Linked DNA regions of Lytechinus pictus. The main gene of each other region encodes a partner of the protein of the gene in region 2 in a complex. Links are inferred from orthologs where the notes say so. Each region holds a gene or a part of one and is shown on either strand. Other genes may lie near its edges.

Evidence for each region.
Region 1: HEAT repeat-containing protein 3-like (region 2) and ribosome production factor 2 homolog share a complex: the UniProt entries of both Homo sapiens proteins name them as parts of the hexameric 5S RNP precursor complex. The link is inferred for Lytechinus pictus from reciprocal best matches to the Homo sapiens genes HEATR3 and RPF2.

Annotation. Positions count from the first base shown.
Region 1 is NC_087248.1:10,399,500-10,415,835, reverse strand, and holds the start of ribosome production factor 2 homolog, read right to left. Parts: upstream 7,386-16,336; 5' UTR 7,057-7,385; coding exon 7,043-7,056; intron 622-7,042; coding exon 451-621; intron 1-450. Other genes in the region: osteopetrosis-associated transmembrane protein 1-like, read left to right, coding at 7,487-7,984, 8,866-8,968, 9,600-9,706, 10,936-11,061, 12,055-12,217, 12,549-12,625. UniProt on the Homo sapiens protein: Involved in ribosomal large subunit assembly. May regulate the localization of the 5S RNP/5S ribonucleoprotein particle to the nucleolus.
Region 2 is NC_087246.1:37,178,189-37,193,513, forward strand, and holds the start of HEAT repeat-containing protein 3-like, read left to right. Parts: upstream 1-7,121; 5' UTR 7,122-7,231; coding exon 7,232-7,387; intron 7,388-10,450; coding exon 10,451-10,623; intron 10,624-11,068; coding exon 11,069-11,156; intron 11,157-11,820; coding exon 11,821-11,933; intron 11,934-12,518; coding exon 12,519-12,628; intron 12,629-14,026; exon of another isoform or gene 14,027-14,178; intron 14,179-15,325. Other genes in the region: importin-4-like, read right to left, coding at 1,300-1,386, 6,780-6,845. UniProt on the Homo sapiens protein: Plays a role in ribosome biogenesis and in nuclear import of the 60S ribosomal protein L5/large ribosomal subunit protein uL18 (RPL5). Required for proper erythrocyte maturation.

The DNA.
Region 1 (16,336 bases), on a different chromosome or scaffold from region 2:
TTTTTACTTTTAGTAAAATCTGCATTAAAATATTCATGAAACTGGTGAAAGAGCTTTTTACTTTTGCACAAGTTGAAATCAATGAGACTTTCAGGACCTTGGGTTAGCAGTCCTAGAACATAGCATTGATGTTACCACACCAAACAGTTACTCTTGGTCAGACTAAAAAACAATCATTTCCTAAAATCTTTTATTCACTTGCATCAATTCTCATGTAGGTAACATGTAGGATATTTCTTTTGGATACTCTCCCAGATTAGGGGATTAAAATTTAAATACGCCAATAATATTTGTAATTGTAATAATTTCATGACAAGCAAGCAAGTAGGCAAAAAAGGCCACTCATGGAAGCACAAGTTCCTGTCTAAATTTTATGAAACCCCCAGAAGTGGCCACTCTGTCCCTATCAGGGACACTAGTGCCTATATTTTTCTTTGTTTATGTCCTCACCTCTTTAACATCTGACTGTTTGGTTTCCTGAGCATGTGTAACTCTGTAAGCAATGCTGTTATCCTCTCACTTGTATGCCCACCTCGAATCATCAACGAGGTCTTGGTGTTTTCAACCAGCTTTGGGTCTCTCTTTTCAAGAGCCCTTTTGACTCGTTGATTCTTAGGTTTTCTGTGGTGGTAGACAAAGAAAGAGAAAATGCTACATAAAGCTCTTATCAAAGATTTTACACTTGCAGAAATGCATAAAGTAGACATGAGAAAATGAGATAAGTTGTTCCACTTTATATGTTTGTCATTTTGCCTCCGACGAAGATTCTGCTAGGATCGAAAGCTTAGGCCCCTTTTGACTTTCTAATTTACTCCATTGGCTCTCTTTTATTAGAGAAGCAGTTTTCAGCTCAGCTTCTTTTTGCCAAAATGAGATAAGGGCATAAAAAACATTCTATAATAAAAACTAATTTTTTCAAAAGTTTCAAAACCAAACCATTCGAGTACGGTACAATGTTTAATTAAACATTGTACTCCACATCTCAGTCAAACACACAGATAGTTCTTGCCACAAGTAAACAACAATGCCTGGAGAATTACTTCCTCCCAGTCAATGGTACAACTTTGCAATCATGCTTTTCAAATTATAATAGTTTTATACCATGTGAGTCAGAAAAACCTTAAACCTCACAAATCACCAAGTTAAGAAAAAGATATGTCACAAACACAAAACTATTAGTCTGGGCTCGAGTATAAAAGTGTATTTTCTTCCTAATAATTTTGATATCATATTTATCATAAATATGGTATCAAATTATTTAGGATAATCATTAGGTACTTTTTACTGTGATGTAAATTTGATCTGTGTAAATATAAGGCATAAGGTCATGACTGCAATAAAAAATCAAGATGTCAATGAAGTCATAATATTACTAGGATGAGAATCGCAGTATATTCCATTGCAAAACACCTTTTCATTACCCGGTAATTAGCAATAATAACATGAATATTGTTTAATAAACACTTTTTAGTATCAAATTTTAAGTTAATTTTATTGAAATGGTGTTTGCAATAACAAATACACATATGTGTTTGATTGTGGATGGCCTGAAGTAGCAGTTAACTTCAATTCAATATCATTGACTTGACTTATATTTTTCAACTAGAGTCTATGTACATCTACATGCGCATTTTACCAAACTCTTATTTTCATCACAATCCAATCAGGTACGGGAATGAAGGACTTCTTCTGTAGATATTCTGGTCTTCACTTAGGGCATTTGAAATTTATCTAGATGGTTTGAACTTAAGCTTTACATGTTCTAACTTTTACACCTAGACATTTGTGTCTGTGATTGTGATTGTCATGATTGATGTTCTGTTCTAAATTTTTATAATTGATCACATAATATCAAACTTCCATTTTGAGGCCCTTTTTGGCAATTGGCATAGTTATAGTATACCCATTTAGTCATGGCATGGCGCCGATAATGATAAAAAAATTATGACACTGCCTTCACCATGTTGACAGGGTCGGAGTCAGACTCGGCTCAGTAAATAAATGTCAAGAGGGTTGTTGCTGTCTCTTGCAAGTCTTGGCCTGGCAGAGCAGAGTTAGAGGGGCTTCGCGGGGTGACCAGACGTCCCGTATTTCCCGGGATCATCCCGTATTTTGCTCCATTGTCCCAGCATCCCGACAAACCCTTCCCGGGACGCCTATTTGTCCCGTATTTCAGAATATTGAACAAAATATAATTAATACATAGAAAAGTGAATAATTTTCATCAAATAACCAACAGATGACGAAGCAGAGACAACAATAAAATCGATAACTGTAAACTTTTGCAAGTTCTGCAGTCCGGCTGCGGTCATTTTCTTGCTACCCATTACAGTGCAAACAAGCATACATACATGTACTAGCTGCAGCATGCACGTGGCTTGCACTGGCCTGCTGCATGTGGTAGGATCGGAGCGGATTCTCATTGGTGCAAACAATCTCAACATGACAAACAGTTTTTCCACCAAAATAATCACAAAATCGGCAGGAAATTTATATGCTTTATTATGGATTCTCAGATTACTGATTTGGTGTTGTAATCAGAGGAGAAAGCCTATTATTTGAGTTTTCATAATTAGATCTAGTTATTAAAGCTTCTTGAGTCTTGTTGTGATCGGTGCGAACTTGTAATGGGATGAGAGATGCCTGTGTGTGATGCCACGATGTTTCATCTAATTTTTAAGTTTAACAAATTTTTTTCATTTCTAAAACATTTTGTTTTTAAAAGAATTTAAAATATATAACAAGAGGAACGCCTCTGGCAGTCTCGCCTGCATTACGCGATTTAATAGAGCAGCAGTGCTAACTTTGAAAACTACTATAAAATAATCATTAACAAAAACACCATTCATATCATGACATAATACCACATTCATTGACCATAAATGACATTTGAATGGTGACTTAAGACTTGTCAACTACACTCATGTCCACATTTCATTCACTCTATTCTATCCATAAACTATCCAATAGTGCTGTTGTCGATAGGCCTCATATCGACATTGATGTCGACATACAAAGGATTTTCAATGTTTCCGACATGTCGACATGCACGCACCCACATCGACATGTAAACATAAAATAAAAAGGGGTCTAGCCTAAAGTCACGAGTGTACAGCTTAGCTGAAAAGTTAGAAGCATTTATCCACAGTAATTGGCGCGATTAAAAGGTTTATTCAGCTTAGCAGCGCATTAAATGAAAAAAAGAATACCTGCAAGCTGCGCGGCAGCAGAAATACGTCAGTGCGGGGCCGGCCTGCCCGATTGAGCCGCCCTCGATCCCGACGATCACTCTAGATATATATCTAGCGCTATAGCGAGCGTAGCTTAGTAGCATTCACCGTACCCATCCACGGAAATATGTACCCATCGCTATTCACCGTGCTTGATAATACGTTGCTCCTCAATGCATTACTTTTCACATAAAAACGTGAGCAGCAGCGAACATGTGTTTTTGTCAAAGTTGTGACCGCCGCAATTGAGCAACTTTATATCACGAAGTCACAGAAAACTTCCCTTCCTTCGTTTGGAGATCGTTGCACGGATTGCCGCGGAAGTGATACTGAAATTATCGGTCGATTTTCATTATTTTTTATTGTCACTTTGAGGAGCTTGCGTTTGCAGCACATGTGTACCAGCGTATAATACGCAATGATCACTGTTGTAATTGGTGATTCTCAAATTGGCTCCGAGTGTTATTGCGCAATGCTTTCGAGACCGGATCGTGGTACAAAAACTTGATTCTCCAGAAAAAAATGTGGATTAATCGGTGATTTTGGAAGTGAATTCACTCTAGCTTAGTGAAAATGTTTTCCGAACTGAGCCTGTATTATATAGATCTAGATCTAGTGTGGGGATATCACTCGTGTCAAGGTGAATACATTTGATTAAGAGTGTTATGTTCTAGGATCGAATGATTTTTTTTTTAATGTTAGGAGCCTAGGCTAAATTACAGTCCCTTTTTCATGTCGACATTGTCGATGTCGGGATTAATTTTTAAGCGACAGGTTGACATGGATTTTTGTTCCCGACAACAGCACTACTATCTAATGTTATGATGGCAATTCAACAATTACCCAAACATGGCCTAAGTTTATTGACCTTAACTGACCTTTGACCTTGGTTTTGTGACCTGAAACTCACCGGGGATGTTCAGTGATACTTGATTACTCTTATATCCCAAGTTTTATGAACTAGATCCATAAACTTTCAGAGTTAGGATGGTAATTTATCAAATACCCCCAATACGGCCAAAGTTCATTGACCTTTAATGACCTTTGACCATGGTCATGTGACCTGAAACTCGTAAAGGATGTTCAGTGATACTTGATTACTCTTATGTCCAAGTTTTATGAACTAGATCCATAAACTTTCAAAGTTATGATGGTAATTCAACAAATACCCCCAACTTGGCCAAAGTTAATTGACCCAAAATGACCTTTGACCTTGGTCATGTGACCTGAAACTCAGGCAAGATGTTCACTAATACTTGAATAACCTTATGCCCAAGTTTCATGAACTAGGTCCATATACTTTCTAAGCTATGATGTCATTTAAAAAACTTAACCTTCGGTTAAGATTTTGAAAATAATTATCCCAACATGGTCTAAGTTCATTGACCCTAAATGACCTTTGACCTTGGTCATGTGACCTGAAACTCAGGCAGGATGTTAAGTAATACTTGATTGACCTTATGTCCAAGTTTCATGAACTAGGTCCATATACTTTCTAAGCTATGATGTCATTTAAAAAACTTAACCTTCGGTTAAGATTTTGAAAATAATTATCCCAACATGGTCTAAGTTCATTGACCCTAAATGACCTTTGACCTTGGTCATGTGACCTGAAACTCAGGCAGGATGTTAAGTAATACTTGATTGACCTTATGTCCAAGTTTCATGAACTAGGTCCATATACTTTCTAAGTTATGATGTCATTTCAAAAACTTAACCTTCGGTTAAGATTTGATGTTGACTTCGCCGCCGCCGTCAGAAAAACGGCGCCTATAGTCTCGCTCTGCTATGCAGGCGAGACAAAAACCCCACAAATATGATATCATTAAGATTTTTGTTAGATTGGACTTTTATTTGTTTGCTTGAAGTTTGAACTTTTTTCCTCTTTCTTTCTTTTCTATCCTTTCTTCATCCTTCCTGCTTGCCTTTTTATTTTGTTCAATCTTTCCTAGCTTTCTTTCATGATCCTTTCTCTCTCGTTCATTTTTCTTTCTTTCCTTTCTCTTACTTTCCTTCTTTTTAAAATTTTCATCTTCTATTTCCTTCATTCTTTCCTTAAACTTTTCTTTGCTTCCTCCTCCCTTCATCTCCTTTTTCTTTTCATTCTTTCTCTCTTGCCATTATTTTCTTTCTTTTTTCATTCTTTCCTCCATCTTTCATTCTTTTCTTTTCCTGTAACTGTATTCTTTCTTTCCCTTCCTGCTTTTCTTCTTTGTTTCTTTCAAAGAATGAAGGAAACATTTTTATTTCCTATAATTCTTTCTCTCCTTTATTCTCTCTTTCACACAACTATTCCTCTTCCCTTCCTTTCTTTCTGTATTCATTTCAAAGAATGACGGAAACCTTTTTCTTTCTTTCATCCTTGACTTTAAATTTTTTTTTTTTTTCCCTTCATTTTTTCTTTATTTCCTCTCAATTTATGTCTTTTCTTTCCTTCCTTCATTCTTTCGTTCACCCTCCCTTCCTTTTCTTTATATTTTTTTTCACAGGTCTAACATTGTATAGCCTTCTTTGTTGATTATTCTTATTAAGACCTGGCTCAGTCGATCCAGCTTGCAACGCAACGCGGCATGCTTTGCCTTTGTCGATTGTCCCGTAATCCGTATTTCATTTTGTGAAATCTGGTCACCCTGCCTGGCTGGGGCTTCATCATGTTCGTGAAGTGGTTAGGTTAGCGGACAATAAGCTCAGGACACTATCTGCAATTTAGTCAAAACAAGTTAGACAGACGGTTTCGAGAAACGGGCCCCAGGCTGCACCCAGCACGATCCCGACTAGACAGGAATAACCGTCGTTTCTGGGGATTTATTCAACAATTTCTGACATTTTACTGTAATCCCCATTTACCGACGGTAGGGTGTACGTGTGGGCTCGCATGTGTTCTCATTCCCTCCCTTTTGTCAATTCACAGTCCAAAGTTTGATGTAATTTTACACATCGAATTTACAATCTAAGGATGTATAAACAACAAACTTTTGAACCTTGATATTCCAATATTTGAATACTTTAAACGATATAGATGAAAAAGGCATGAAAAATATACTTTACCGATGTTTAATTGGGTTGAACACGATAAAAATGGTCAAAATGGCAGCCAAACTATAAAATATTTACAAACGAACGTCAACAATCACGAATGTGATATCGATATTGCTTTCGATATTATACGATCTGCTCCATATGCGAACGAAACCGAAGATAAACGATACTAGTTATACTAGTACTAGTACTAGTTATAATCGCGATATATCGATTCGAGACATTAAGTTAATAACGATAATGACGTCATTCAAGATGGCAACTTGCAAGAAAAACCGTCAGGTCAGGTGAAAATGTCTTAGATGACAGATTTCTCAATCATCCAGAGGATTTTTTTTCAATAACTCCGGCCCAAGGTATGCAATTGTCTTAAGTTATTTATATTTCCCTGATAATGGAAACCATGAAACTTTCAATTTTGCTTAAAAAACAGTTTTAAATCGCGATCTATAAAACGCTAGTTCACTATACGTTGGCTGTAGGTACGGGGCCCCATCCCCTTCAGTCTATGTATGGTGAGTGGAGCCAACGTAGTTCAGCGGAACAACCAAAATACAGAGACTGAAGCTTTAAGTTTTGGTCTAGATCCCGACCCGACCGACGTGTGCCGACTACCAGACCCCCGCGGTCCCGGGCCCGGGCTGCGCGGCGACGACTGTCCGTGGAGCTTGATATCGAAGAAGGCGTAAATCAAGGTAAACAATAAACAAATTGTGATCATATACCTAGTAATTGAACGATTCTTTAAAATTGAATTGATTAATGTTCCTTACACTATCCGGTGCATCCTCCTGGCTGTAGTAAAGTAATTTATTCAATGTTGTTTTTTAGCGATTATTAAGGGTATTCTTGAGCTCACACCGCACTGGCACACACGTGGAATTGGCCTAGGCTTTGTTCAATAAGATTTGAATCGAATCGGTTAGTTTATTAAAATTGACCTATTAACAAAGATTTAGTGGATTGAACGCTTTTTATGATAATAAAAAGAATGTTAAATATTTGAAAAGACGATATAATTAATAAGAAAGCACGATTTTAATGAAGCTCATATCAATAAATAAAGGTAGTAAAATAATGCCTGAAAGACTATTTCAGTCACATGATTTATCACATGACTCAACAGCAGTGGACCAAAATGATGGGGCCTTGTGGAATGGAATACACAGCTCCCAGAACTGTTCTTGAATGAATCGGATTACTTACTTGTGACAATTATGGAGCCATTATTTTTCATATCATTCTTGTGCGGATCCATCATATTCTCAGCTTCCATCATGTCCATCTCGCTTTTTTCCTTGAGCTTGTTGTTGCCCTCTCCTCGGACTCTTGTGGCTGCTGATTCGGCGGACAGTGACAAGTGGATGCCGGGGAGCACCAGCGGGGATCTACATTCCATTTCCCGTGAAGAGGGCTCTTTATTCGTCAATCCACCTGGCTTAAAGTTAAACTCGAATTCACAAGGACAAGGTCAAGCAGCCATTGATCATTTGAATCCTCTTGCATGTACTCAAGAACATATTTTAGTTGACATTGACAACTTGCCTGTGGATTTTACGAAGTGCCATCACAGAAAAGAACTATTGAGTGCATACAGCAATGCTTCCTCAGCATTCATTGAATGTGCAGTTAAGAATGCCAAGCCGGTTTTGTATTGTGGACAATGTGTATTGGAGTTTGACTTATCAAGGAAAGCGTGGAGTAATATTGAAAATGTAGGCTATATTACTTTATTGTCTTTAATTCATAAGTGTGCATTTTACTATTATTTTGTTCATTTTTATGCTCGAGTCTGGGAATTTAAATGTCAGTGCGCAGCTCGGTTGGTGTTGGAGCTGTTGGCGCTCTTCAATCTGTGTAGATTATCTGCGCCAGGTCATTTCCAAGTTCCAGATTTATAAGCGTGGATGGATTTGCTTATTCCCTTTTGAATGTCCTTGGCATTCTATCTAAAGACTAGTCTGACCTGTCAAATAGCCATGTGCAATATAAATTATGATTAGTTAACTCTACCATTATTGTGCATCTTTGTGCACTCATTCAATGAACAGGGTTATGATATAACCTTGTTCTCTGTTGTTAGGACTTCCTGTGTGGGGAAATAAGGCTGGCAATGTTTTATGTGTTTTCTCTTGTTCTTGGGTATAATAAGTATTTTTTGTTACAAAACAGAAGTGATATACTGCATAGATCTACATGTATGTAGATTCACAATAGGCAGGGTGGTTGCAGTGAACAAGTGTGTCAGTAATGCTTATATAATGATGATATGGTTTTATTGTTTTATGCCTGAATATGGTTTTATTGTTTACTCCTGAATATGGTTTTATTGGTTCTTTTTCTTTCTCACTATGGCAAATGCCTGCAAAACTGCAACGAGCTGTCTTATACACAAGATATACACCTGTAAATCAATAACTTATTTCAAATAATTATTCTGCACATTAAAATCTATGTACAAACTAATAAACTGTCAAGAAATTAATAATACATGTAAGTATTTTTAGTTCTAAGCAAAAAGAAATGGCATTAAAAAAAATCAAACAGGCATTCCATTAGACTAGACCATGATTCACAATTTGTATTTCCCTTACAGGATGAAGAATGCAAAGAAGATATACTTGTTTCTGATAAACTGCAGATTGTGAGTCAAACACAAGCTTTCCTCACTCAGCTGTGGCGTGATGGGAATTGTCAAAGTAAGTTTTCAGGAAACATTCCGGACATATCCCCTCCACCTGGTAGAATAGGACTCCATGTGTGACTGTATTAAGATATTTGGTAGTTTTGATAATGAATATTTTTTTCCCTTCTCCCGCCTTTTTTACCCTTTTTGTTTCTCTTTCAAATATTTCCACATCACACTTCTCTCCCCCTCTCTTTTTCATTAAATCTCTCTGTTTATCCCTTTCTTTCTGCATACATGTACTTTCACTGTATAAGTTGCAAGGGCATTTCATTTCTGATGCAATTTAATCACGTTATACTGTCATCCTGTAAGCAAATTTTCATTTTCATTCAGTTTATATACTCTAGGTAGTTTGTCCTTACAAGTTTTAACCATAATGTACATCACTTAATAACAATAATAATAATACTCAATTTTTATATAGTGCAAGTTACAGTTAAGTCTCTGAGCGCTCAAAGTCTCTAAGCTCTCAATTAATTACTTGATAGAGATATTTTATTTTTATTTATTTATTTACTGTCAGTTAAAAAACATTACTTTTGATTCCTTTTTAATTACGTGTACACAAGACTAAATTGTTATTACTTTTCCATTCTTCCTTATCAGTTATACTTTTCTTCTTTACACTGCAAACTTTACAGATTGCTATGATGAAAATCTGAATTTTAATGCAACCAACTCAACTCAAGAATTCCTCAAGAACTATAATGACACGATGACCTGCTTTTTGAACAATGGCGGATGCTCTGTAAGTATTCTTGAATGAGATAATTCATTACTATTTTATTTTTTTGTCTTCTTCCTCTTCCTCTTCTCCTTATAAATCCTCCACTTCCTCCTATTTATTTTCTTTCAGTTTCTTGTTCCTCTGCTTCCCAACTTCGTGTCATAGTGTCAATCTATAGAATATCTGCCTGATATTTCTTATTACATGGATACTGAAAGTGGATAAAATGGCAAGAGCACACTCTGATTATCAATTTAATTTTTCTCCTATTATTAAGTGTAATAAGTACATCAATGGCACAGAGTATAATGTATGTACCAGATAATTCAATTTTAGTGTGATAATAACTAAACTGGGTTGCTTCATTCCCCCACTTTGTACATTTACTGTATGTATTCCCTTTCCAATTTAACATTATTTTGCCCTGTTTGGAAAAATCTGTTCATGGTTGTGATTAAAAATACTCATAGCATGTCAAAATAACTGACCCTCTCATCGAAAACAGAATAATAAACAAAATCAAGATTTAAACTAAATTAAGTTTACATGGAAAACCCACATAGCTTTGAAGAACTTTCCAGTAAATTTTCAATCACTTCATTGGTTACACAGTCATGCTTGTAACATTCTCATTACAAATGAAAGTTTTGCACCTACTTATCACAAGCTCCCTGATCAGATTCAGTAATGATTTGGGGGCAGATTCACTCCAACAAACAGTCGATTTGAATGAAAAGAGAGAGAAAAAAATGAAACTTGGATGTAAAATAAGAAACTTACAACATTTTAAAGTTTTGCTTAATTTCACGCTACCCAGTAGGAAGAAATCCTTTGAATGCTCAGTGTACTCGATCAGGGATAATTAATAGTATGCAGCACTAGCGTACTTACGGGGGGGGGGGGGGGCAGAGGGGGCAGTCTGCCCCCCCCTGACGAGCCACAACCCATGCAAAGGACGTATCCCTGCCCCCCCTGACGAGCTTGAAGACCTTTATTGCCCCCCCCCCCCCTGACGAGCTTGAAGACCCTTTTTTTTTTTTTTTTTTTTTTTTTTTTTTGCTTGTCAAATTTTTTGGCGGACGGTTTTGCTCCCCCTGTGAAAAATCCCAGGCACGCCACTGGTATGCAGCACTTAGAAACATTGTATTAAGCATTATATTAATGTTCCACGTTATTATTATTATTTATTCACTTTACTAAGTGCGTATTAAATATATTATCCAACAATCTTTTTGATGTTCATTTCACAGGATGATCCAGTTCCAGTCGACTCAAATATGACGTTATGTGATAATTGCAGTGAAGAATATGACAGACTGAATGCCCTGTACAATGACATGAGCGACGACCAACTTTGTATGGACATCATAGACTTGGTAAGCAATCTAACTGCTGTAAATGAAACTCAACTTGAAATGCTGGCACATGTTCTGGATTCTGGTCTAATTCAAATTTTGGTCTAAAGTTGTGGTTTAACTATGGAAAGCCAATAGTGACACAAATCTGTGAGTGTCAAGATATGACTCTCAAATCATTCACAACTGTCTAGGAATAATAATTGAAGCACATGTAGCTTTCGTCACCATCAAAGCATGAAGAAAGAACATCCACACATAAGAAACATACCATGCAAACATATTGCTCACCTTTTGGGCTTTCCGTATATTTAGCGCAGAGCTAGACCATTGCCTAGATATAGAAAACTTGACTTGGAATACATTCATACAAAGAGAATATGAAATGAATGTCAATGAATAATTTTATCTTTAAAATGTATAACTTGTTAGTATATGAACATTGACTAGGTTTCTATATGACCATGGGTCACTGGAAGTACTAAAAAGACATCAAATCACAGTAGCAGGGGTTCACTATTAGTTCACTTGTGAGTGTGTACATGAACACTTCTTTGGCTAAGTGTGTAAATGTTCCCTAAAAGGAATTTGTGTATCCTTGAAAAATGTTCTAAAGAAGATAGTCTGGGATGTACTTCTAGTTAACTATTGTGTATTACATACAGGCCAAAAGTTTACATACATACACCCATGAAATTCAGTGAAATTTGTTTGCTTGCCAAACATCGTAAAATTTACTATATCTTCATAAATATATATACTACAATGACAAATTTGGTATCAAATGAAAGAGCGTATTAAGCTCTTTCACATGGTTGGGATGACAAAGCAATGTGTTTGATATCAAATTTGTCATGATAGCACAAATATTTTATAAGATACAATAAATTTATGATGTTTGGCAAGTGTCAACTTTTCTTTGAATTTCCTGGGTATATGTAAACTTCTGGCCTCAACTGTATCATCTTGAAACGTGCTACATTGAAATTTATTTTGCTGTTTTTCCTTTTTTAGATGAATCGCACCCGCATCATGTGGAAAGATAATCAATGTCGGAAGATAGAAAGAGAGTTTTTAGCTGTAGTAACCCTAAGCGTCTTTGTCTGTATATTGCCATTATTCTTTTACATTACTGCAATGCTGCATGGGACCAAAAAACAACAAAGACTTGTAGAAAGTGAGTACCATGATTTTTTTTTTTAAACATGAACATTTATTTATGAAGAAACATAGACATTCATTGTGAACTTTGATTTGTTCATTGTTTTTGTACCAATGATGGTAACAATGAATAATCAAGATTATGCATGTACTTAAGGGCATAAACTCTCTTACAGATGATTATTGCCTTCATAGAAGGATTCGGTCAGTTCCCCCCCCCCCCCCACCACAGCCCCAAATACAATATCCACTCCCTGGGGAGTATTTTGATAAAGGGCTAAATAATTTTGCATCATGAACTATTAGAAATAGAATAATTTGGTCAATATTTTTCTACTTTTGTACAGAATCCAAAGAAAGGAAACGGAGGTCACTATCAGCTTCAGCAAGACTCTATGCTGGGACAACAACTTCCCTACGCTAATTAATTTATGTTATATGCCTTTAATTAAAGACTCCAAAGGAAATCAGGAAATGTCACCTCGATGACATGTTAAAGCATCATACTTTATTTTTGTTTGAGACAAAATACAAGGACTCGATAGACTTTGGAGGCAAAACAATGTTATTAGTATACTGTTAAAATTGTCTGTTAAGGCCACTCATGCAAAAAAGAAAAAGTAGCCACATTCCTTTTAAATGGAAACAGTTTTGATGGCCATTAAAGACAGGTTTCTGCTATAGATAGGAAGCTGCTAAGGCAGGTTTTACTCACTTGTACTTCAGCATTTATTAATCTGCCTTAAATTTGAGAACTTTCCATCTTGAGTTTAATATTAAGCTTTAAAAAAATGAAATATTATGTAAGTCAAATATATGACATATTAGATACAGGAGCGGATCCAGGGTGGGGGGGGGGGCGCCCACCCCCCTCCCATATTGGGGCAACCTGCAGAAAAAAGTGTCCTTATTAACTTAAGAGAAACCTTCGGTGCATGTTACGGGGCTTTCTGGCCCCCCTCCTTCCAAAAATTCCTGGATCCGCCCCTGATGTATGTATGTATTTAAATCAAATATGTAATCATTGTTTGTTTGGTAAAATACACTGCTATACTCAGATTGTCTTCATTTTATCATCTGCCATTTGGAGGTAAGTTATATGAAATTAAGTAAAATTCCTGCATAGCTTTTGTTTTCTCCTAGCTGCCTTTCTATTCCCCATAGTACTACTCTTTGTCATTGGTGTGTTTGATTCCATATACCATAGCCAAACGCTAGGTAAAGTAGCACACAGGTGTTGCTAATGAGATTGTTCAGGGGATGGTTTCATAAAAAGTTTTGTCAGTGATTTACTGCAAATCCCTGCATCTGATTGGTTGAGGCAAACTAGTCACTGAGAAACACTGACTAACAGGGTTTTTGTATCTTTACAATTTCTCTCCCAAGTCTCCAATGCAGCATTTGCTCCACTCCTTACTTAATATATATACATGTATGTATATTCTTGCAATGATTTACATACTGTTGTTGTTTATTCTTATGAAGAGAGATAATAAAGAAGGATTTAATTTATAATAGTATAATTTTATATTAATCATAATGATTATGATGATGATGATACTACTTCTACTAATACTACTACTACTTCTACTACTACTTCTACTACTACTACTACTACTACTAAGTACTACTACTACTACTGCTGCTACTACTACTACTACTACTACTACTACTACTACTACTACTACTACTACTACTACTACTACTACTACTACTACTACTACTACTACTACTGCTACTCCTACTGACATTTTGATATTTACATATATGTCAAGAAGATATGTGCATTATTTCATATTTACTGAAGCCTGTGTCGGACTATATGATCTGCTCTGATCTTATTTTGGAAAATAACTTGCAGACAGATGAACTTGTGGGTGGCCAAGCTCAGCGGTATGCAACACAGAAGAATTTGGTATTGTACCCTAATTGCATAATGGTAGATATCTTGATAAGTAACGAACCACTTGGCTCCCGTCTGACCTAGAGGATTACAATGATTTTGAAGCTAAATAATTGATTTGACTTTGAATCCTTGACAGCTTGCACATTAAAATATACTACTTTTCTGTTTGAAAAGACCAGTGAACTTTCCCTATGCATTGAAGTAGTTAACATTTTTTTTTTACTCCGCTTACTGTATAATTAAATGCGTAGATCATAAAATAGCATTAAGCAAACAAATTGTAACATTAACATAACTTTGCAGATGGCACTCATATGACACATTGTGTTGGTAGTGTCATTAAACCTCAATCAATCAACAAAAGTTATAAAAACTGTCTTTTAAATCATTTTTTGTTCACAATTTTGAATTAAAAATTTATTAATACAGTGGATTGTAAAGTGTGAGGCAGGCTTGAGTTTGAAACCTGAAAATTTGTAATTCATTTAATCTACATTGTTGTTCAATCCATGTAATTGGACAAAAATGTTTGGAGGACATTTGTTTATCATATAAATATTACTGCAAAGTGGTCATATTTAATGGAATTTTCCTATTATTCTAAGTTTTGTTTTCAAAGGATTTGTTTATATTTGGAGGAGGTTTAGCCCTCTTGTAACTTTGTATTCAAATGCATAACCATGATTGTTGAAAGTTCTGCACTAAAAGTGGTCCTATTTAAAATTGATCGTGAACATATAATGTATATGGTTTAAGGGAAAAATAATTGTTTCAAGGGTTACAGCTCGTTATTTTGAAGGTTTATTATTCCAAAATTTTATTCGTCCAAATTAGGGGGTGGGTTTGAATATGGACTTGAAATTGAAATAAAGAGTGATTTAGTTTTATTGGCTCTACAAGTAGTTTGCAGTCAAAGTGCATACTTTAGTAAAAGGTGTACTTAGAATGCAAAAAGAAAATGGGGCTGTTTTTTTAGGATGCAATTTACGCCCATTTTTTGTGAAATAGGGGATACAGTGGCTTAAATAATAACACTGCTAAAAGGGGCTGAATTCTGGGGTGCAGAACGATCGCTGTCACATCTTTGAGTATATGGTTACAACACGGGATCCTGTTTAATAAAGGCTTGCTATAATAAGAAATATAAATGTACTACCAGTCAACCAAATTGAATGATTACAGTAGCTTTTAACTGTTATGCAATTTTTTTTATTATTATAAAAAGTTCATGAAACAGGCCCTGGAAGTTCGGGGGCCCCATTAAAAAAAAAGACCTTACCACTAAGGTAACCTTTGTAAACTATTATGGAAACCTTTATTTGATTGCACCGTTTCCACGGTACTTTGATAATAATGGCAAAGTCACCATAATTGGAAGTTCTTTGCGGAATATGTACCCAACATTTTTTAAATTATTATATCAGTCAGGAATTTGCAATAACCACTCTTGGATTAAATTGAAACTTATATAATATGTGTATTGAAAGATGAAATTTATTATACGATTTTGATTTGGTAAGTAACCTATATATTGTAAATCAACCATTGGAATTGGGACAGGAGGCTTCATGCCACAGTAATTAAGTTAACTTTTTCTGTCCCTGGCGTTCCACTGGTTGATATTTCTTATTTTGTATTGTATACATTGAAATGTATTTTTGAATATTATTTGCCGAATAAATAATAATAATAACCTCAGATATTTTTGAGAATAAAATTTTCAATGATATGCAGAATGCTCTTGGCTTTAAATTAATATTGATTTTGTTCAGTATTCTGATTGTTTGTGCAGTGAAAATGGCCCTATATAGTTTCGGCTTCAGATTTTGGTATTCCCTCCCGGACCCAGTCCTCCTCTCCCCGCTCTCTTGACTTCTCGATATCTCCCTTCTCTCCTCCCCCTTGTAATCACTCCCTTTCTTTTGTTTCTTAAATTATAAATGATTAAAACAGGATAGAAATCAAACGCGATTCACAATGTAAACATGTCTTAGACATAAGACAATGATGAGTCATACAATCATTATCAAATCCAATGAGTTTATGAAGAATATTTCACATTTTACACATACTTGATAGAATCAACCATGAATTATTTTTAGTAGCATATATTTATTCAATGAACTTGGTATAAATGAGAAGAAAGAATACAGATAAAAATAAAATATAATTTGTTAACACCATGCAAAAACCTTCGCAGCGAAATGAGATCAAAACGTTTAGAATATA
Region 2 (15,325 bases):
GAAAACAGCCGTTTTAAAATTTTTTGTACAAGCTTCATACAGGTGGTTTGAATAAAAATGTATAAAACGGCTGTTTTCGACTCGCCGTACGGCCGCCATAGAGCAAATGTGACCGAGGTATTACTGATTTGGTCTGATTCCAAACTGCTAGCTTTCTACAGCCCATGCACCCAACTGCTCATTAGGATGAGAAAATTATGTAATTTGCTTCCAAACTATGGGAATACCAGCAACCAAATTCCTGTGAAAGTTGTTGTAACACTAATAGTATCTTCTTTGAGAAAAATTACAATTATCTTTCATACTGGCAAAAATACCTGGTACATGTACTTTCCTGATCGGGATAGATCAGGGTAAATGTCCAATCGGAGAATAAGAATTCTCGAACTTTGTGTCTCTCTAAATAGGGCTACTGTAAATATTTTCAAAATTACTATTCAAAATATAACACTGGTATATGTACATGTTAGTCCTCAGGAGGAGGGGGGCCGGGAGGAGGGCCTGGTGGGGACCAGACACAACCATATTGCTGCTTACATTTCCAACCTGATAAATACATTGAACAGGGTGGTCTTTGCTGGTTGGTGGGTGGAATTCATGTGACAATTTTAATGCTGAGGAGGTAAAAAAATGCCAGAAATCAGAATAAAAATAGTTTATAATTAAGGAAAATTTCTTAGTTGTTGCATTTTGGCATTTAATGTACCCCCCGCCTATATTAGGAGTATTTTTTTGGGGGGGTGGGCGAATCATTTGGTAAATGTTTGGAAATCAATGTATTGAAAAGGGTATAAATTTTACCAATCAAATAAATTCTGAGTCTTTTATTGATACAGATGAGTCCCCATAGTCACATAGCATTTTTTATAAAGCTTGGAAGAATTTATGGTAAAATCAGGGACATGGAATTTGAAGAAATATGAAATAATGCAAAAAAAAAGATAATTACCTTTTAAGTATATTATTCCCTCTCATATTAACAGAGAAAACAGGATAGTTAAGGTTGCTTCAAATTCAAACGAGAAAATGTTACTATAAGTAAACAAAACACAAAACTTTCCTTTTTAGTAAAGGAAAGCAAGATTTTCAAGACTGGCATTGCAGAAATGCTAGTTTTATCAACTTTCCCCCCTTTTTTGGGCTCTGATCAGTGATACCTTTAACCGATTGTAGCATACAAGATTAATGTTTTCCCTTAAATCTTCATGTATGTGAACATCTCATGTCTATGAAGTTTGTGGGAAAGACAGGAAGAATGGCGGAAGGAAAGGAGAAGGTTAGCAAAGGGCTAAATTATACCTGTGGGTTTTGAGACGTCGTAAGGACAGAACATAGCTCTGGCACAACGCCAGGGCTCTTCAAAGCTTGCTTCAGTTCTTCTGTGCCCTGCAGTGGGGGAAGGAGAAGGAAGATGAGGAGGAGGAGAGGAGGGGCAGAGGAAGATGGGAGGGGAGAAGGAAGGGTTGAGGAAGACATAAGGGGAGGGAACGGGGATGAGGGAGAGGGGGATGGGAGGAGGAAGAAGGTGAAGAGGAAAAGTGAAAAACAAAAAGAGAAGGAAATGGCAGGAAAAAAAAACAAAGTTGACAAATAGAAAACAAGGAAAGAGATATGAGAAAAAAAGAGGATATGAAAATAAAAAAGAGCAAGGTGGAAGAGATAGGGAAGGAAACAAAGAAAGAAAATTAAAAAGAAAGGGAGAAAGAATGAGAGAGACAGAGAGAGAGAGAGCAAGAAAGAAAGAAAGAAAGAAAGAAAAAAAGAAAGAGAGAAAGAGAGAAGAAAGAGAGAAAGAAAAAGAAAGTAAGAAAGAAAGAAAGAGAGAAAGAAAGAAAGAGAGAAAGAAAGAGAGAAAGAAAGAGAGGAAGAAAGAAAGTAAAAAAGAAAAAAAGAAAGTAAGAAAGAAAGAGAGAAAGAGAGAAAGAAAGAGAGAAGGAAAGAAAATGAGTAAGCGATGCAGCACATCGAAATGGGGTGGGGGAGGGATTGAATCAGAAAACAAAAACATGGTAAATTAAAAAGGGAATGAGGTAGCATGTGGAAATAATGAAATTGAACATTTAAAAAAAAATACTCAGATCACTGCAAAGGAAATTTAGAAAGATGACGAAAAAAGTTATGGGTAATGCCAAGTACAGTTTTTGTAGTGAAAAAAATATAATTATCGATTATCAGTAAGCAAATTAGAATCATAAAATGTGATCATTTTTATTGCACCTTTCACACATTTTGTTTTATGACATCTATAGTTTTTCAAACATTTCATTTTTTCACATTATAATTTAAGCTTTGAAACAGAACTTTAGATTAATAAAATAATAAAATGAAAGGGAAATATGGTTGAAACAAAACAGGATGGAAACATATGTTCGTAATCAGGTGTGGATTCATGGGTTACTTCCTCTTTCTTAATGATTTTCCTTTAAAAAACTAAGTACAAGTCAGTGAAATTGCAATAAAAATTGTAATAAGTGGAAAAGATCAAGGCATTCAACACCTAACAATCTCTCAAGTTACATCTCTAACTTTCCATAAAAGTTCCATATACTGAGGACCATTGGAATTCAACAAAAAACAAATTGCCATAATAAAGCTTGAAATATAGAATGTGAGTCTGAATAAATTCATGAAAATCAATTATGTACACAAAAAACAAAATTTAAATATGAAATGTTTCAGAAAGTGAAACTGAATATTCTGTATTCACAATCACAGCTATTAAGTTTGAAAAAAAAAATAGACCACTTCAGATCTATACATCTCATTGGATGAAAAATTAAAACTTTCACCATATTTTCTGCTATTTTCATATTTTCAAAACCAAATCTCTATTCATAACTGCTTCAACGAATGTCTGCTTCTCTGATCATAGGAATCAAAGTTCGAGAGTTCATATATATTTAAGTACAAAAATAAAAAGCATATCAATAACAAACAAGCGAACTTATCTGGAATACATATAGGAATACATGAATCCCCCAAACCAGTAGTGAGAAAATATGTTTGATGATAAAAAGGGTTTGGTGAACATAATTGAATATACATGTAATTAGGTGAAATCATAAAATACATTGATGGAAGGTGTTGGAGATAATAAAAAAACAACAACAAGATAAGAAAACAAGTTTAAAGGAAGGGTGGATACAACTTCTAGATCAAATTTAAAATCATTAACAAGTCCACCCAACCAAAAGCTGATTTGAATACAAAAAAGAGAAATTAAATACCGGGTATGCTTAACACTGAAAATTTCATAAAAATCGGATATAAAGTAGGAAAGTTACTATGACATTTTAAAGTTTCGCTTATTTTTACAAGACAGTTATATTCACATCCTAGTCGGTATGCAAATGAGGGGACTAATGACATCACCCACTCACTATTTCTTTTGTATTTTATTACTTGAAATATGACATATTCTTATTTCCCCTCATTGTGAACAAGTTTAAGTCCTCCCTGAACAAGTGGGATTACCATTGTTTTAAGATTTTGTGGTTCAGTCAAGTTCATCTTTATTGTAAAATCTGTAAAAATTGAAATATTGTATAATGCGGACATTAAAAAAACAAAAGAAATAGCGAGGGACATCATCTACTCTCTCATGTCTCTGAGTTGTGCATAACTGTTTTTTGAAAAAATAAGCAAAACTTAAAAATGTCATAACTTTTTTTATTTTACATCCAACTTTGATAAAATTTTCAGCTTTCTGCTTCTATGATTTTTCTCATTGATTCAAATCAACATTTTCTGGGGTAGAGTTGACCTTTAAGGGGCATCCCCCTCTCCTTATATCATCTCTCTTCTCCAACATCATTTTATCATCGTTCATAAATTTATTACTTTAAAGGTGATCAGATCATCCTCAGGTTGTCTATCAAAACAAAACAATGAACCAATGAAGTTTCTCAGTTAGTTTCACATATCAATATACATGTAGAATGAAAAGTTACTTAGGAAAAGTCCACCCCAAAAAAAACTTTAAAAAAAGAAAAAATCCAACAAGTGTAACACTGAAAATGTTAACAAAATCATATGTAAGATAACAAAATTTTGACATTTTTAAGCTTCCCTTGATTTCACAAAAAAAATTATATGCACATCCTGCCAATGAGAAGACTGATGACATCACCCACTCACTACTTCTTTTGTACATGCATAATGATGCATTTTATTTATTATATGAAATATGTAATATTCTAATTTTCTCCTCATTGTCATGTGATTATGTGAAACAAAGCTTTACTCCAGAGCTGTTAGCATGTGGTATTACCATTTATGGTTCAGTCGAGTTGAACCTTATTGTCAAATTTCAAATCTGTAAAAAATGAAATATTTTACAATTCAAACAATAAAAAACAAAAGAAGTAGTGAGTGCCAGACATCATCGACTCTCATTTGCATGTCATTGAGTTTTGTGAAAAATATGAAAAACTTAAAAATATCATAACTTTCCTATTTTACATCCGATCGTAATGAAATTTTCAGTGTTGGTCGCATTTCATAAGTTGGGTATGCAAAAAGGGTGGCGGATGAACAAATAATAAATTGTACCTACATCACAGCCCCATGGCCAAATTTGTTGTGTAAGGTCTCATTTTTGGAGCTAGAACTATAGGCTAAATAGTAAATATATTACTACAAATTAGATCAATACAATATCAGCAACAAAAACTATAGCACATTAAGTTTGAAGTTAAGGGGTGGCAGAGCCGGTGGATGCGGTGAATGATAATATTGTTGTAATGTGATGCTTAACGCATCATTTTTGTTCATTTACAGCATTTTCATTAGTTAAATGTCACTACTTAAACAAACTAAAGTTCAAATTTAATGTCAAAACAAACTTTTGAAACTACTGTATTTCAATGTCCCTATACAGTTAAATTATTAATGATGTTCCTAATAAATACACTCGATTAAGTAGGAAAAGTTTATCCAATATATACATTCAATAACCCTTTTTTCCCTAATTTCTTTTAATTTCAATATTGATTGAGTCTAATTTCACTTTAGAATTATTTTAAAGACTCTGGGCATCACTTTTTTAAGTTGAAGTACATTCATAAAAAAAGATATAGGCATGCAGGTAAATTATGTTAAGTTAATTAACTTAAATAACAACTAAAACATGCATTATTGTGCCATGATACATTCTATTATGTCATAATATGTACAATTGTACATGTACATGTATACTGACTGTCAGACTCATATTTCTAGCCAGTTTAAATTATGCAAATTTGACAACTTTGAAAACATTCCAGAATTAGCTACATGTACATGTGCATTTTAGCTCCAATCTGCAACCTATCTACCGGTAATTAGTAAATCCTATCTAATTAGTAAATTTTAGGAAAATATTGTTAACTATTTAATTTATAAACTTAATTTATACTATTTTAAAGTCTTGTATCATTAAAAAAACAACATTTTTTTCTATTCACGGTGTAGTGAATTTGCAAGGCATGTGAGGGTGAGCTGAGAGTCACTTTTTTGGAAAAAATTGCAAAATTAAACATTGTTAAAATTAGATGTAATTAATATGCATGCAATAACAGATTACCACTTTTTTGTTATGGATGTATTAAGCATTGATGTTCAAATAATACAACTGCAAAATAACATCGGTATAACAATAACAATAACAATAACAAAATACTAGGGTGATCCAATGTAGCATTAATTTTTTACACCATTTTTTGTGCAGAAAGTCCAATTTGAGAAAAATGCATTTAAAAATTCAAATTTACATTGACATCAATGTATTAGATATAAAATGAGTCATTTTAAGAAAAATAAAGGTATTTTAGGATAAAATCCTCCTTCAATATTTGAAGAATGGTAATACCTAAAAAATAACTTTTTCGACCATTTTTACCCTGTTCGCAAAATTGGACCACTTTATGACATGCGACCTGTTATGCTTGTTTGATTTTTCTCTATTCAAAATTATATCAATCTGTGATGGACTTGACCTTCAAAAAAGCATTCACATTTATTGTGAGTAGCCTTTATTTTGATCCCCAACCCACCCCTCAGTAGAATAAGAGAAAAATCTTCCTGCAATCAATATTGTTCAGTTACAATGTATTTTCAATGAATCCAGAACATAGTCGTAGATACTGCTCGTACTGTGGAGATCTGAAGAAAAAGAAAGTAGGGCCTAACTCTCTCACCCAAATTTCAACAAAGAAGTTTCATCAGGAATTTAGATCTAAACATTAAACACCTTTGGCAAAGCTAAAATATAAATAAAAAAACATTATTTCAAGATTAATTTTTAATCAACATCACCACCCAGTGTTGGTAAAAAATAAATTGTTAAACATGACTAGCACTATACAAATAGCTCCATGGTATAGGCATATCCACCACCAGCACCATCTGCATTATCAATATCATCACCATCACCATTATGATTTATCATCATCATCGTCATCACATCATCATTCATCTGTTCATATTTATGACATCATCGTCATCATCATCAACATCCTCATCATCACCACCGCCATCACCATCACCATCATCATTCAGTCACAGAAGCAAAATCAGCTGTACTTGGTCTCACTCTCAGACATACTCATAGTTCAGTCTCAGCCTCGGCTTCTGCTGCAAATCATCATGCAAAAAAAGCCAAAATCAGCAGATCAGGATTCAGGCCAGGCCAGGGCCAGGGATATGGCCTGTGTCAGTCTGAGCTGCTGAGTCTGAGCAATTTTGGCAAAGGCGTATTACTAATTTTAGCCGTTGCTTGCCAGTGGCAGTGTAGTCCTTACCTGTTGTATTACCACATTGTCAGGCACAAGAAGTTTCAGAAGAATTTGTTCAAGCGCTGATGACATTTTCCCAGGCTAAGCTCCGTCCTTCCCTGACACAAACTCAAGTCTACTCTAAAATCTAATGCCAATGCACTTCCTACGATTACGGTGCGCTCCCAACCCCGTCTTCTGCCAATTCTCCACGTAAAATGAATGAAAGTGTGCATGCATGGCACGGGTGTGATGAGTAAGTTAGACTCTTCAAAGAAAAAATGAGAAACCGGAACTTATTTGCACATGCACTGTGTAAGTGTAAAGCAAGCGACAAACAATAAAACAACTGGTAACACATCTACGTCTGAACAGTTCAAAGGTCATTATGTCCACATGGTTAATGTTATTTTGACACTGACGTGTTTCTCTCAGACTTTGTAAGATTGTAACTTTGAGGAGGTTTCGTCGCATCAAATATGGGAAAATCGAAGAATAAGAGATTCCGTTCAAAGAAGGCACAGCCGACTGGTTTGGAGAGTGTGAAGGAAATACAAGCAGAGGAAGAAGAACTCGGCACGTCCACGACCTCCTCGGACACCGTACAGCTGAAGACAGTCGGAGTGTTGGAGAAGGTGCGCGGGGCCCCGCCCCGGTAGTTTTTGTGTGTGTCGAGTGGTTGAGAGCAAGAGACGTGATTGCGGCCGGGTCGGGTGGGGTCACTTGTTCACTTCTCCCACGTCCCACCCTGCCTTGAGTGTGGGGAATCTAAATTATGTAGATCACTGCAGTATACAATTCACATTTAAAAATTCATTAAAATGCCACTTTAAAAACCATACAGTTGTCATGGCCATGGGGATCAGTTATTCACTGACAGTGACACAAGTCACTGGACCTGGACTCTGGAGCGCTCAAAACTTGAATTTTTGGCATATATTTGTGCAGGCCCTCTATTGATAGAAAGTAAAATTTTAAGAAAATTGTCATTTTTCAATCTCTTTTTTTAATTCAGAAAAAATACTTGAATAAAAGACTTCAATTTTTAAGATAATAAGAACCCGGGGGGGGGGGGGGGCACTTCCATTGACGAGTGGATACCATGCGCGACCATTTATTCTCGAATAGCACCCTAAACAAGTATTTTCCAAATTCTGAAAATGCATCCCTAACAAGTATTGGCATGTGAAACCCTACCCTTAACAAGTCCTGGGGGGGGGGGGGGGAGGGGGGGCCATGCAGTCAAACAAATAAATAAGTACAGCGATGTTTTAATTTTTAAGTCACAGTCTTAAGTTTTACCTTTACCTACATCATTGGGTTTATAGTACGGCACCAGCTTGTGTAAATCGTACACGTAGTGTTGACTGTTGGGGCAGAAAGTACATCCTTTATAAAACATTTTAGTCTTTTTTATACCCACGCAAATTTGACCCTTGACGTAGCTTTCCTAGCGAAATAGATACCCTTTTTTCATTATTTTAGTGGTCTTGACACTCTTATTACGTTACATACGTAACATGCCCTATCTTGGAAAAAGAGATCCTTATTACATGTTTTTTGTGGTCGCGCATGGTATCCAATCATCAATGTAAGTGGCCCCTCTGGGCTTAAGAACCAAGTTATATGATGAATAGTTGTAATGGAAAATGACAGTGTAAAAAAAAAATCAAGCATTTGTCAAGAGAAACAAGAGAAAATAAGCCAAACATTGCCAACCACAGGGAATAGTAACCTTGTTCATTAAATGAGCGGTTGGGATGAGACTTTCTGCAGGTATTTTGTAGCTGGCCCAAATCAGAATGCCCATTATAGCAAAACGGTTAATTATGTTCATTATTGTCCATGTGAGCGCTCTAATTTTAGCTCAATTGTATTCAGTTTTACCCTTGGCCTCGGCCCTCCATTTACAGTAACTTAGAGGCGCTGGTCAGAAAATTGGGACCGTCCCAGTTTACAGGGACTATCTCAGTTTTCAAAGATTCCACCACACAAGAAATCTAGGAAAGTTCATTCACCTGTGCCGACACCAATCTAGTGCGCTAGTCAATGTAAACATATAATCGAGTTTCACAAAAAGATTATTGGAAGACGGCATATCGTGAAAAGACAGTGAACTGGGGGGAATTGAGGTCACTGAATCTAATTTTAGCACTCTCAATCCCCGAAATTGCCGTCTTTGTCCCGCATGGGTAAGTGAAAAAAAAATGTCCCCATAAACAAGGACAGTCTCAATTTATTAAGACATGATTTGTCTTGGTTTATGAGTATATTCTTGTTTTCTGGGACAATCCCAATTTTTGGACCAGCGCCTCTACTGATTTGAATTGTCTCAGTTAACAATTAGATTAGATAATAAATTCAACTGTCTCATACTGATAATAAGCTTTTAATTTGTCATATATAGTCTAGTAGACTACATTAAAATAATCCTCAACACCTAAAACACAATGAAAATTACTTAAAAGTCTCAGAAATTCCATATCTAACTTCTGAAAAAGTAGCAAAATAGATCATCTTTATGTGCTGAAAAATAAACATAACAGGACCTAGCTTGCTCAGCTGTGTGTCGCACGCACGTTTTTAGTATACAAGTTATCTCGTGTGTAAGCATTGTCGTATGCTAGCGAAAATCCATTAAAAAAAAAATTCATAATGCAAGCCTATGTCTATGGCTTTACTATGTATTGTGTGCTGCACAGTGTGGCTTTTCACGACCATACACCGAAACTTCAACAATTCAAGTTTTGACAATGATCTTGAGATTTTGATGATATCGAACCTTAAACCCCTAAAATTAGAAAAGAATGAAATAAGCTATCTATATCTCAGAATAATTGACAAATCTAGCTCATTTTGAGCGGATTACGTTTGATTTTAAAGCTAACTTTGATATCAAAATCCGCTGCATTCACCGTACAGGGGTACAATCATGGTGGATTCTTCCGCCCAACGCGCACATACAAATTTCGTGCACATCCGCGATAGCGCCAATTAGCGCTCATTGTGGATCCTACTGTCTCACTCTCAGTTTTCAATCAAACTAATTGATTAATGTTACAGTCTACAAATTCAATTTTTAGGAAAGTTCAATCACCTGTCAAGTGCTGACACTTATCAAGTGCACAAGTCAATGTAAACATACAGTATCAGGTGTCTAACAAGATTATTGGAAGACGGCAAGTCCTAAACAATATATGGTGAATTGAATCTGTTGGGATCGAGGTCACTGAATCTACGTTATTTTTAGCACTCAATCCCCTTAATTTTGGTTTATGTCCTGCAGCTGCGCAGGGAGAAGTGGGAAAAAAAACTCAATTTATCAAGACACGATTTGTCTCATTTTATGAGGATATCCTTCTTTTTGGGGCACTATCTCAATTATTGGACCAGCACATCTATGTTAATCAGTCTAAAAAATGTGAGTCATACATGGTGTATTGTCTTTGATCATTTGTGAACTTGGTAAATGTCATGTTGGTCAGTAGTAGTCGGCTGAAATACGTCTGGAAGATGTTTTTTTTTAAAATTTGTTTCCTCCTTCAGTCCAGGCCAGCAGATTGGAAAACCGAATGAAAAAACAATGCAGAAAAATGGTAGTACTAAAAATGGGTGAAGGAGAAGAATATATGCAACAATCTGTCAGAGATGCATGCTCTTTGGATGAACTTGACAACTTTTTCTGTCTTCATTTTCAGCTTCAAAGTAGCTCGGCTGAGGAGAGAGAATGTGCCTGCACGTCTCTGGCAAACTTGGTCCAGGATCCCCAAGCACTGCAGACCTTGGTCCAACAGAAAGCAGTGCGTAGCCTTGGGCCTCTTCTCGTTGACCCATCATCAGGTATCCGAGAAGCTGCGGCTGGAGCTTTGAGGTAAATTTCTTTGTATATTTCTGTCTGTCTCTCTCCCTGTCTGTCTCTCTCACTCTCTCTCTTTCAGAAAAAAAGAAGAAGTAATTTTTACTTGCATTTAGGATCTGTGTGCAGATTGTCCTAATTTCCAAGGTTTATTTCAAAGTTAAAGAGTTCACAAACTAGTGGCTTAAATTATAATGCAATTGCAAAGCACTCAGGGGTCAATTTTCTTACAAAAATCGACCAAAGAACTTTCTGAACGCAGAAATCATTGTTGCTATTAAAGACTCAAGATAGGGATTGATAAATAATCTGATGAAAATATGCATTTTGTAAATTTGTAATCTGATGAATTTACAAATTTGTAAATTCAAATTAGTAAATTTACAAATGTTGTAAATTCACAAGTGATTGTTTTATTGTGAATAATGAAATATTAATTTATTTTCTTGATATTGTTCAGGAATCTGACTGTAGCAGGTGGACATGATATTTGTGACCATATGATAGATGAAGACATCATGACCCCTCTAGTTGCATTCCTACTTCAGGTAAGAATCCATGTCAAAGGTTATTGTATACTCTATACACTTTTCTTTATGGCTTTTGTCCTCAAACAACTCAACAAATAGAGTCAATGTTTTTAGTTTATGTATTAAAGATATTTCACTTATTTTCTTTTATTATTATTTTTTGATTGATTGATTGATTTATTCATTAATTCATTTATCTATTTCATTTTTTAAAATATTCTTTTATATTTTGTTGGCAGGCTCAGGTCAAATTTTAGATCAGTTGTCAAGCTATAGAGTATCATGAAAGGTTAATGAATTTTCAACTAAGACATTGACCTTGTTGGAATGTGATAAGAGCAGGCTCTTAGTCTTTCTGTCATGAAAGTTAGATGAGGATGTCATTTATGTTGAAGAATCTACTTATTTGCCATTTCAGAGTTATTAATGAGACTTTTCCTTGAATAGTAAACTTGACAGCCAAGCATACAACATCAGATGATGAACATTGAATCTGTTATAATCCCATAAAATGATCAACCTTTTTGTAGACCTGTCTAACCTCCATTTTTGTCCAGTTTTAATTCACTGTACAAACTGCTCATGCCATGATAATTTAAGAGCAGTACAGTTATGATACAAGCTAGAACTAAGATATTCATTTGCAATTTAGTTGTTTTATGCCAATGAATGTTATGTTTAGTATTCAGATGGAATTCCACAGACCTCTGCAAAGCATAAAGAGAATAAGATGCCTCAGCATGACTCAAGTTTAGAAGCATTAGTGCAAGCTGTACATCTTGTCTGGAATTTATGGTAAGATTTTTAGATTTCATTGAGGACTGTTTATGAGGTGGAGAGAATGATGATGATACTGATAATTGAGGTGGTTGTGATGATGATGATGATTATAAGGATCGTGAGGATCGTGATCCTGATGATCACAATGATCATAAGGATGAAAATGATGATGGTGATGGTGAAAATAATTGATGTGGTGGTGATGGCGGTAGTGGTGGTGGTGGTGGTGGTGATGATGACGACGATGAAGGTGGTGGTGTTTGCGATGATGGAGTGGTGATGGTTGGGATGAGGATGGTGATGGTTGGGATGAGGATGGTGATGGTTGGGATGAGGATGGTGATGATGATATGTCAGAGGTCAAACAATTCCTCTTCTAACCCCCCCCCCCCGTGTTTCTTTCTAAATGCTATCTTTTCTTAATTTTTTTCTACTTTCATTCATTCTATCTTTCTGTCTGTCTCTCTTTTTTATTTCTTTTGTTATTAAAAGAAAGTCTTTGAAAAATGAAATGAAAATAACATTTCATTCCAGTTGTGAGTTGTCAAGTTTTCTTTGAAAGTTCATGATTGTGATTTGAACTTTTTCCTCCTTTCTTAGTGAGAGTAATAGTACAGCAGTAGCCATAGCTAATCAACAAGGTTTAGTCACAGTCTTCCTTCACTGTCTTCAAGCCTACCCAACTATGGTGGATTTAGCCATCTGTGCAGGTACGTCTATTTCACACCCTCTCATGAAACTGAAGAGATGCCAACCATTCTTTTTTCCCCTGCATATCTTTTCCTTTGTTTGCTATGAACAAGGTGATATTTTGTATGTTATGTTATATTTCCTTTAAATTTCTGATCAAGGAGTATAATGCCCATGAGACAAGATGGAAATGAAATGCAGTGACCAACTAAGAAGCTTAGCTTGTTGGCCATAGTATGAATTATAAATGAAATAGTGAGTGTGTGACCTAATTAGTACCTGGATGTTATTTATATAACTGTTTTGTGAAACTAAGAAGAAACATTAGAATGCATGAACATTTTGCAACAGATTCCTATGAATGTGATTATAAAAGGTTTTTCTGTTCCATTCAAATCAACTTTATTTTGAATGAATGAAAGAACAAACGAACGAATAAATATATGAATGACTTACTGACTAAATGAATGCTATGATTAATTAATTTGATTAATTGAATTAATAAACGAGTGACTGAATGAATGAATAATATGATTAATTGTTTGATAAAGTGATGAATGAAACAAATAATGAATTAATGGATGACCGACTGACTGAATGAATAATATGATTGTTTGATAAAGTGATGAATGAGATAAATGAATGAATAAATGGGTGACTGACGAAATTATGTTTGAGTAAATCATTCATGAGTTTGTGAATGAATGACAATTGACTGGCTGAATGAATATGATTAATTGTTGAATAAATGAATGAATCATGCAAAGTTGACACAAACATATGAATATGGAATGAATGACTAGTTAATCAAATTCTTGAAATTCATAGTTAATTCCTTTATAAATAACCCTGAAATTGTGTCGTGCCCAGTAGCCATGTACCTAATCCAAGGTCATTTCGTGCACAGGTATGCATGTAGGTAGCTCCCAATTACTGAACAGAATAATACATGATAGACCCACAGAGTAGAGGGGGCTATTTCTGCTTGAAAAATATGACAGTTGAACCTCTCACAATAAAGACATGTTCTCAGTGAAATAGTGCATCGATTGTAAATATATGTGCATCGTCCAATATTCCTCATACAATCAGCTAGGTTCATGTTATTAATTTCCAAGAATTCCATTTAAAAGGTCTTTCCAAGAACAAAGACCCAAGAGGTACCTGTATTTGAATGAACAGAAGGCGGTTTTGTGGAAATAAATACAAAGGGGAAAAAAAAGCAGGAGAAAAAGCTATTTAATTTCACCTGATATAAAAAGAAGTAGACAGATTTATACAAGTTGCTTTAAACATTTATGTACATACACCTATACGCCAAAGCTGGCCGCATGTGCAGACAATGTGCAATTTAGGTACCAAACATATGAGCATTCAATTTAATTTGCAGAGCCTTTATGAAAATCTTCTGTACTCACCAAGTCTTGAAAGTATTCTAGGTTGGTTTTATAAATCCTTTTAAGAGAGGCAGTGAATAATTGAAATAAGGACTCGGCAAGCCTTCCCTTTTTCTAATTTTCATAGCTTTCCTAAATATTCGTTATTTCGCACATGCGCTCAGCCTAGTCTTGATTCTTCAGACCTTGGTTGCCATACAAGGCCTCTGTCCTTGACACTGAATGTATAATTTGCAGTAGAGTTATGAGAAAACCGCATTTATGCTGATTTTCCTACTTCTTTTTTAGACGTTATATAAAATATGTAATTTTAATAGAAATCTGTAATCATCAAATAGATTAACCAATTTTCAAATGTAGACAAGGGTCTGATCCTGTAAACTAGTCACATGAAATAACAGTCCAACATTCAGATACTTGCATAGTGAAATCTTGGTTCAAGCTCTGTTCTCCATTCATATAGTGTAGTTTGCGACAAGTCCGGACATGTTTGGGATATGACCTTTGTGTTGTTCATTCGTACCGACGCTCACCCATTGAGAGAACGTTTGATTATTCGTTAAGTGATTAGATTGTAATAGTGAACGCACATGGACAGTCTGATTTAAGCAGTGCTTGTGATTTGTGTGAATGTCCAAGCAATTCTGTTTGCTGGGTGAGGTCCTTTTTGAGGATTGATTTTATACAACCAGCAGTGCACAGTTGATAATGTGAGTGAGAAGATTTCATTTGAACTTTCATAAATGTCTAGCACTGCAGTATTAGTTAATTGCATTTAAAATTTAGCTGGGTGAAGTACACATCATATAAGGGAGAAGCATACAAAGTTTTATTTGAACATTCATATATGTCTCGGAGTGGTCAGTTTGTTTGAGATAGAATCTTGCATAATTTATGTTCAACAGTGTTACTTGATGATGTAATTGTAAATGGGATGTGTTCAATTTTAATAGCAGTATTTTATGTCCAGGAGTGGTAGTTGACCTTAAAAAGTTCTTAATTGATCTTTCTTGCACTAATTGATTAATTTGATGAAATGTTAATTAAAAAAATTAAATGCAGGTGAGAATCTTTCAAAGCTAAATTAAATAAATCCATTAGATCTAGCTTGGCATTTTTATCTTTACTTTAATCTAAAAGCATGAATAGTGTTATTATTAGTATCGATATACTGTAGTCTGTTCTTTGTCGATTTGTGCTTATAAAAATGAGTAATTTAGTTGAGACTGGAAATTTGTATAATTTTCACTTATTTGTATTAAAAAAATAATATGTCTATCAATTTATATAAGAAATTGATGTTAAAATGAATTAATACAA